2 linked regions of the Schizosaccharomyces pombe genome follow. The protein of the gene in region 2 interacts with the protein of the main gene of each other region in a pairwise test. Each region holds a gene or a part of one and is shown on either strand. Other genes may lie near its edges. The genes, in order: eno101 and sec74.

What was found.
Region 1: the proteins of sec74 (region 2) and eno101 interact in a two-hybrid assay, tested with the Schizosaccharomyces pombe proteins (one large-scale study listed by BioGRID).

The regions. Positions count from the first base shown.
Region 1 is NC_003423.3:2,199,400-2,203,212, reverse strand, and holds eno101 (enolase), read right to left. Parts: upstream 2,018-3,813; 5' UTR 1,977-2,017; coding exon 657-1,976; 3' UTR 561-656; downstream 1-560.
Region 2 is NC_003424.3:5,182,255-5,188,103, forward strand, and holds sec74 (guanyl-nucleotide exchange factor Sec74), read right to left. Parts: upstream 3,906-5,849; 5' UTR 3,455-3,905; coding exon 668-3,454; 3' UTR 520-667; downstream 1-519. Other genes in the region: pnn1 (putative pinin-like protein ppn1), read right to left, coding at 1-374. UniProt on the Schizosaccharomyces pombe protein: Guanine nucleotide exchange factor for Arf GTPases, stimulating the nucleotide exchange from the GDP-bound to the GTP-bound form. Involved in vesicular transport.

The sequences.
Region 1 (3,813 bases), on a different chromosome or scaffold from region 2:
TCACCACTTTAATGCTGTTCTTTTTTTTTTTTTTTTTACTTAAATGCATAAAGCCTATACGGTCCTTAATTTATGACATGTTTTTCGTTCATGACTTTTCTGTACAAATGATTTCCTTTTCTATATGCTTTTTTTTTTTTGGCTTTTCTGGTTCAATATTTTACTATTGTAATGTAGATGAATTATGTTAATAATATTGTTATTTTCATTCTACGTTGATGAATATTATAAATACTAGTAGGTAAGATGCTGAGGAATAGAACATTTTCCAGTGTTAGTAGTAGTAAAGTGACTGATAAAGAGCAAAGGTATCCAAAAATTTTGGCTACACATAAAAATATGTACTAGGTCAAAGACAAATTTCTGTGTTTTACAGCAGATGCACACATTCCAAAAAAAATTAAGATGATTGAAAAAAAAACACTATATAAACGAAAACTAAAATGATCATCTAAAAAAAAAAAGGATGCAAATTAGCACAAAACAATTATATCAGCTACTTCTACTACAACAACAGTTTACTTTAATACTAATAATAAATAAACACGCAACCTGGCAAATTAATCCAAAACGCAAAAAGGATAAAAATTTCATTGCATTCTATAAAAATAAACATGTATTGTAAACATTAGTAAAATTTAATGTATGCTCAGAGTTTAAAACTTAGCAGCCTTGATGTACTTGCCAGCATGGGCACCAGCGTAAACACCCTCGGAACCGAGTTCCTCCTCGATACGGAGAAGCTCGTTGTACTTGGCCAAACGCTCGGAACGGCAAGGAGCACCAGACTTAAGTTGACCGGCACCAATACCAACAGTCAAGTGGGAGATGAAGGTGTCAGCGGTCTCACCGGAACGGTGAGAAACCATAACACCCCAACCAGCCTCGTAGGACATGCGGACGGCGTTCAAAGACTCGGTGACGGAACCGATTTGGTTGACCTTCAAAAGAAGAGCGTTAGCGCACTTCTTGTCGATGGCGGTACGAAGACGCTTGACGTTGGTAACAGTCAAATCGTCACCGACAATTTGGAAGTCGGTCTCAGCCTTCATGTGAGTCCAGGCAGACCAGTCATCTTGGTCGAAGGGGTCCTCAATGGAGACAATGGGGTACTTCTTGGAGAGCTCGACGTAAAGGTCGGTAAGTTGTTGGTAGGTAAGCTTGTTCTCGGGCTTGGGCTTGGCGGCCTTGATGTCAAGGTCGTACTTGCCGTCAACGTAGAACTCGGAGGAGGCAACATCAAGACCAATCTTGATCTTACCCTCGTAACCAGCCTTGTTGATGGCCTCAACAATAAGGTCAAGAGCCTCTTGAGGGGTTTGCAAATCGGGAGCAATACCACCCTCATCACCGACATTGCCGGCAGAAGAACCATAACGCTTCTTGGCAATGGACTTGAGAGTGTGGTAGGTCTCAGCACCCCAACGCATAGCCTCGGAGAAAGAGGGAGCACCGGTGGGGAGGATCATGAATTCTTGGAAAGCCAAGTCACCACCAGCGTGGGAACCACCGTTCAAGACGTTGAAAGAGGGAACGGGGAGGACATAGGGACCCTTGGTGCCAAAGTTCTCGGCAATGTACTTCCAGAGAGGGAGCTTCTTTTGGGCAGCACCGGCACGGCAGATAGCCATGGAGACACCCAAGATGGCGTTAGCACCCAACTTGGACTTGTTCTCAGTACCGTCGAGCTTAAGCAAGAACTCGTCGGCGGCCTTTTGGTCGGTAACGTCAAGGTTGGCCTTAACGACGGCAGGGGCAATGATGTTGTTGACATTGCCAACAGCCTTCAAAACACCCTTACCACCCCACTTGGTCTTGTCACCATCACGCATCTCAAGAGCCTCCCATATACCAGTGGAGGCACCAGAGGGGACGATAGCACGGTGGATACCGGTCTCGGTGGTGAGGTCGACCTCGACAGTGGGGTTACCACGAGAGTCGTAGATTTGACGAGCAAAGACTTTCTGAATGGCCATGATTAACGATGTTTACTGTAGAATACTAATTGATTCTTACTGAAACAAGTCCTAACGGACGGCCCTTCCACTCTATATATACCTGGAGGAAGCGCCGATCCTCTCAATCTTCCATGACATGCCCCTGAGCCCACAGAAGCCGGTGGAACAAATTGGTCGCTTCTTTAAGAATCGTTAACCGGAACGTTAGGGTACGTTGAAGGAGCGACCAAGCGAGCGACGCGAGCCACCGTAGCCAATGTGCGAGTCCAGCGAGCTTAGAAGGGGCAAGAGATGGAGATGAAGTGAAGTGAGTGTGGTAAGGTAATGTAATGTATGGAGTGGTGTGGTGGTGTGGTGTGGTTGTTGGTAGAGAGAGAGAGAGAGAAAGGTAATGTTAGGTAGGTGGTCAAAAGAGGAACCAACTATATGGCAAGTGTTTTTTTTTGCCAAGTAATCAACAGTGTTCCCAAAAGTTGCTTACAACGTGAGTAATCTGGAGGAGGGCCATCTTTGGAAAAGGTCGGGAGCTAGAAGCAGCGAAATTACGCGGACGTCAATACACGAAGCGAGCCGTTTTGTATGTTTGTTGACGAATGTCAGCGACAACAACCTCGTCGCTGCATGTACCGTTCGTTGCTCAGTGCAGGAAACCACCGAGAAAGGAGCGTTACTTGATGCCCCACCCTTCCCTCAGTCGCCCAGTTCGGGTGATGCAGATAAAGGCAAAAGCGGACGGGTTCATGAGATCAGTTGTTCCGAGAGGTCCCTTGATTCGCGGATGTCAGTGGTAGGATGTCATCAAGGTTTAGCAAGTGCAAAGCCGGAGAAATGTTGTGATTGGAGGGGAAAATCTTGTTGCAGGATGGATTGGTTGGACAGATAAACATCAGGATAGTTCCATCCGGAGAAACTTCATGGTGCCATACGGGACACAGTTTGACTACCCTAACGATCACGCCAGAGGTAACGTAACGAAACGGGCATTACCGCACGGATGGAAATTGCCGCAAAGCAGACCATCGCAATGAAGCGGCGGTCGGTGCAGCAGGCAGTTGCAAGAGAATCGCAGTGGAGGGCAATGGGAGGCAAGAGTGCGCAATGAAGGGAAGGAGTGAGCAAAACGAGGCAAGGCAAGGCAGGGCAAAGCAAACTAGGCCAGCGCAGGACAGTACGACCAAGACAGGACAGGATGGGATAGAGAATGATATACAGGCTCAGGTTAGGTCAGGTTAGGTTAGGTTAGGTTAGGTTAGGTTAGGTTAGGTTATGGTGGGTCAGAGAATCACATCAACTCACTCTACTTGAGAATCACATTACAGACGGGATTTAAACATTGAGAATAAAATACTTTAAAAAAATTTTTTTTTGAATTCACTACTACTCAATTGCAAACATCTGCTTGGTCGATCCTTCCTCTGTGTCCCTTCTCTTCCCTTTGTTCTCATTTCTTGTCCCTCGCCTCGTCTTGTCTCGTCTTTTGGACGCTAATCCTCCTGGCTCTGCACCAACCGCTCGCTGTATCAGATTCACAGCAGCGACACGGAGCAGCGCGTTAGCGAAACTCAGCATGCTATTCACTACAAGGTTAACGCGGACCAGCAAACACAAGTGTAGTGATGTGCAAGCATCCCGGTGTCACGAGTTGGTCCATATTCGCGAAGGCTCTAGTAGCGTTGACTATGGATTTGGTTTGGCTATTGCTATGACTTTCGTTATTACTATGACTCTGGTTCTAGCTCGACTCTGACCCTTGCCTGACATACAAATACTTTGCTCTTTTCAAAATGTACCGTAGAGTAATGTTTGGAAATCTTGTTTGAATTTCGATCAAATACAATACTATTGATCACAGGCT
Region 2 (5,849 bases):
TCGGCTTCTATTTTTTCTTGTTTTTCTAATTCCTGAAGCTCCTGCTCTCTCCTTTTCGCAAGTTTTTCTTCCAATTCCGCGCGTTTAACTTTCCTTGCAGATTTTTGCTCACGTTCCGACTCTTGCTGAAATTTGCCCAAAGTTCCCAGTAAAGCTCCGAACATCCTTCTTCCTCGTTTCTGTTCGACTGAGTTTTCACTGGTGTTCTTTTCTTTTACTTGACGATGGTCATCTTCTTCCATTGAGCCTTCTGGCTGATCAATTTCCATATGGGAGTCTTCATTATTAACTTTTCCGTCTAAGATTGGAGCTTCCGATATCTTAACATTTTGCACTGTCGATTTTGCAGACAATTCCTCGCGCCTCTCATCCATCGCTCTAGTTACAGTTTGCGTCGGTCATTAGCGATGCACTCTACACTTTATGAAGTAAAAGGTCCTAACACTACAACAGGATTATCGCTTACAAAATCTTCATTATATATAAAAAGTAGCACAATAATTACAGTAAAGCGATGAATATGAACAAAAAATTTAAATTAGTAAAATTAATCCTCAGACAAGGAAAATAGTAATATACATGCTAAATGGAAACACTGGAAGAAGACTGAAGCCAAAGATGGAGTTAAGGGGTTAAAAAAATGAATTTGTAAAGTCAAACGATAGCTCTACTCACGCAAAAAATCATCGGGGAGTTCAACAACACTGTAACGATGTCCATTCACAGTCATTATATTAGCAATATTCGGCAATTTAGCAGGCGATTTCCTAACTACCTCAGGATTCTTTCCAACAGTCTCAGTTTCTGCTTTTCCAGAGTCGTTTTCAACTGACTTCAATTTCGTATTTTGCACAGACTCCACAGTCTTACCAACTCGTAGATTGCTTCTTCGAACACTAGGATTTGAGTGGTTACGGAAATTAGATTCCAAAATTGTATCTTCACTAGCATTTTCTTTTCCCATAACGGAAGACGGGAAAACAGATCGAAGGTAATCCTGTAGATGACTGTCCATTTCTAAATCCTCCTTCAAGAATTTAATAGAAATTTTAAATTTCTGAATTTCTATCATCTGGGCTAGCATATTTTTCTTCAACGTATTCGAACATCTTGCTAAACGAATTCGGGTCCGAGATTGAATAGGTTCAAGATGTAATATATTGGCAGCATTTCTTCTCTGTACAGTCATTTTTGATTCCCCCTGCCTTAAAGCTTCTTCTAATTTATAAATTCTATTTTGCACAATATACACACGAACTTTGGAACACTCTAATACTTCACTCCTGGTTTCCTTTGAAGCTTTCGACATCGCATCCGAATCTTCGTATATGTCGGGAAGAACACTAACGGAAGCCTTGATGCTCTTATCAGACGATTCAACACACGGAAGCCTCTCACGAGGAGCTAGACCCGCAGTAGCAAACGTACTCACAAAATTTATCTTCACCAACCAGTCATTTAATTCGTCTACATTAGTAACAGAAAAGACATGAGTTCTCTGATTTTTTTGCTTGACACTGAAGGAATACAGTTCATTTTCTATACGAGAACCATCACCGTATGCAACTAAATCAGACAATGGGATAATGTAATCAGCAGAAAGTGAAGTTAAATGAGGCGAAAAATAGCAAGGAGAAAAAGAATGAGATCTTTTGAAGTCTTCCAACTGATCCAGTAATCCACTTATCCAATATACGTTTTTGAAGAACATCAACTGCGAGCTTGTTAAAATGACACCCACCTCTCTGTTGGAAAGAAGGCGATCTTTTCGAACCTTCTCATTTTGAATGAGTATGCCAAGTTTGAAAACTTTGACGTTTATTATCGCAGGATTGGTGCTTTCGCTTTCTGCACTCGGTTCAAAGTGATAAGAAAACGCTTGGGGCTGTGATCGGTGCGAGACGATCTGCAAAAATGGGGCTCTAGCAAACTCTTTGTATAAGTCATCAGCAGTGCGAGTAGGAGATTCAATACTCGTACGGACACTGTCAATTTTTTTTAAGTCTAATATAGAATCTAGATTAATACGGAAACCCGTCAACTGTTCTTGTAAAGCCTGATGGTCACTTTCGGTAGCAAATGTGTTTCGTTTAGTAAGACGAAATTGAGAATCTCCTAGTCTTTGTGACAAAGATGGTTTTTCATTAGAAGGAGAAGTCACAACACAACCAATATGCTCTACATGAACAAATGGAGTGTAGGTAATATTATCGTAAAAGCATTCTAATATCTCTGGAAGAATGGTTGGCAAATTAGTATTAGAGATGAACTCGGCACGAGTCATCTTTTGTCGATTATGGATGTTGAAAAAGTCCGTATGCAAAATCATTAAAGAAAACGTAAGTATGTAACATTCATCAGAAGAATCGTATAAATCGGGATTGCAATGAAAGTATTGGTCTGAAAATGTGCTCAAAACTCTATCGATTTGCTGGGTCTCATTAGGAAGAACATAGACAGCAAGAAACTTGCGAAGAGCCATGTCTAACGAAATACATTTGAAGTTGACCACAGACAAATACTTTCTCAGGCAAAGTTTTAGAAGTGATGAAGTTCCCTGCGACAATATGGCAGGAGTAAACTGCTTAGGAATTGTAAATTCCACCTTCTCCAAGATGGTTTCAACGGTGTCATGCTGATCTATATCTGGCAGTGCGAAATCCGAAAGAGTAACAGAATTATGTTTATGGTCACAATTTGGTGCAGCACCAAAATCTTCAGATACGCTAGACTGATTTGAAGCCGGCGTTCGCGCACTGAAGTTTGAAGAAAGAGAATTTACAGACTTCGAACGAGGTAAGTAGGTAGAGGAGTCGATTGAAGAACGGGAAGGAGATCCGAATGTCGAGCCCGCATAAGAGCCGGATGGAAAAATTGAAAGAGTAGAAGCAGCTAACTCAGCGATGGTAGAGGTATGCGTTGGAGATAACTGCGAATCTGTGGGACTAGCATTTGAGGAAAAGATTGTCGACCAATTGGAAAGAAAGATTGAAGACTGACTAGAAGGACGTGATTTTTTATCAGGCAAGTTCAACGATGCATCATCGCCATGTCCGTTGGAGGAGGAGGTTGGTAAGAAAGGGGAGGAGCATTGTGACGAGCTAGATTTGGAAGAGCGCCAACGCTTCGGTATGGTGAGCTTCAAGGCTGAAGAGACTTTATTGGAAAGTTTCTGGGAAGAGGAGTGACCAGATTTTGAATCCAAATCGGTAGTCGAATCTCCGGTGTATGCGGAAGAGACTGGGGAGTGTTGAGAGGAGACCTTGGGGGTGTCCGAAGTGATCGTAACTTTTGGCTTAGATTTGGACTTTCTATTTTTTTTCTCCAAAGCGCTACGCAGGGCAGACTTACCCTTTCTCCGGGAAGGAAGGGGAGGAGACGGCTTATGAGCAGAAACCATCTCATCTAAACCATGCAAAGCGGAAGAAGAAGCTATACGAGAAGATTCGTCCATGTTCTATTAAAAAGGGAATTTTAAATTTATTAAAAGAAATAAAAAAAAAACTTTTTTAAAATTTCCTACGATTAAAGAGTTCAGAACCTGGAAAACAAAAATGCGTCTCGAAAACCCTGAGCAACACAAACGACATCAAACTTCATGAAGAAGCAATTGCACAGGATGATTGTGATTAACTGATAGGGTTCTCTTTTCTAAACAAAAAAATAAAAGAGTATCTTTTCAGCGAAAAATGAAGTTTTTAAATAATAAAAGCGTAGATCATAGCCGCAGTTCGTTTTGGAAGAAGAGAGCGATTCTTGAAGAGTATAATTACAGCAGACGACGGAATGGCAAAGCAGTAAAGAGGAAAAGACTTAAAAAACCTATTTTTCCCTACTAAGCACAAGAAATGAATAAAACTAATTATGCCTTGAATGATAGGATGAGGGGGGTAAATATTGACTGTGGAAGATGAGTGAGAAACGATGTAACGATTCAATGGTACGCAGCGAGGCGGGCATTGGTAATACTGAACGCAGAGGCAAGTGCCCCCATAAAAAAGAGGACTTATGTGGGGGTGGATCGACTAGTTAATCCTAATGTAAACAATGGATGGAAAGAACTAAAAAATGATGAAGAAGAACATTAAGAGAAAAAACATATAGTAAGTTATATACTATTAATGAAAAATAAAGAATTGCATTGAAAATAAGTATTTGTAGGAGGAATTGAACTTTCTAAGCCAATTGTGCGAAACATTGCTAGATGTAGTGGATAAATACAAAAATTGCTTGCGAAGAAAAATATTCTAAAGGAGTACAAACGAAATTTCGATTCACATAGTATTGAAAGTTTTTTTAGTAAGATTGTTTCTTGAATTTCCTTTAATTTCCCTTCAATCTGCATATTGGGAACTCGAATTGATGAAAACATTTATTCCATTAGTAATTGCTGAGAAGCATATATTAATAGAAAAATCCATCTCTATTTATGATTTTTTTTTCACACTCAGAACGGTTATGATTAAAGATACTGTAAGTTTATGAAATTAATTGACATGTAAATTGAATTGGTGGTTTTCCGAAGAAAAAGCATTTCTTTCAACAACCGTTCGTTCACTCAATAATCTTCATTGAATTTCTTTAGCAGTCATTTTCTTAAATCGCGTTTTATCAATTGCAAAACCCTTCTTTTATCGTTCATCTGCAAAACTAACTGACTCACTTACAATATTGAATTTGCGCACTTAAGAATTCCCTACCACTTTAGTATTTTACATTTGAAGATTCGTCGATCTCAAGTTTCCAAAGGTCACCTATTAAGACAAAGTATGATAGCTACAGCACCATCAAGCAATTGCGTTTCGCACACTTGAACTACCGTCTCTACAATTCATTCAACTCAACCTTTCTCAATACTTCCATTCCTCCGTCAATCTCCTACCGTACTTCTTTACTATCTTTTCTATCAAACCTTTTCTCTATTTCCACTCTTCCGCTCCTGCTGCCACGCTACCTAAATGAGATGGATAAGTAACAGTTGCAAGAGTTGTAGAAACTTATTTTCGCCAGCTATAAAGCTCAAAGGAAACGCATTCATCCTTAAAATTGGCAGGTCAGTTTGCTCGAATTACTAATATCCAAGTGTAACGTAGCGGCATTTCATACTTAGTATTGCCATTCCCATACTCAACACTGCTCGTTGGCGTGGAAGTCTACTTGGCAATTCTTAGTCGGACATTCTGTCATCAATGGCAAATTAATCATGTTTCTCGGTATTAGTAAAGCAAGGAAAATCTGGCATTGAGGGCGTCATAAATTTATTACCGAAGTACGTTAGTAATTCTCCTACGTTAGCAGTAAACTAAGCAGTAATATTGGTGGTAGCGGTAGAATTCCTCTTACCTTCTTCTTGCTACATCTAAACAGGAAGTGAAGTTGGAATCGAGCGATTGTGAGACGAAATTGCTTGCGAAAAGAATTTCAAGGACTCAATTGAGATCAATTGTTAAATTTTACTTAATCTAAGACTTTTTTTTTTTCCAAATTAATCGGGTTTATTTGGATTTCATAAAGTTGCAGAATTGCAATTTCATAGATTCGTTTGTAGAAGTAAATTTTTTTTGTCATTTACATTATTGCCTTTTATTCTAGTTTCTCTTCTCCTTCAGGTCCCCGTCCTTCTTTCCTTAGTGTATTGTAATAAAACGGCTCATACGATTCGTTGACTTCGCTGTCTGACGCTTTCCAGCAAAGTCCATAAGCCATCCGCATTGTTAAATAACCTCTTTTAGTTAATAAACCTCAGCTCCTAACATCTAGATTTACGAATTGGGCTTAGCTTCTTTTCGTTGAGTGTATCTACTGGCGCCACCGTCATTCTTTCCTCTTTCTATCGCTGCTTTAAATAT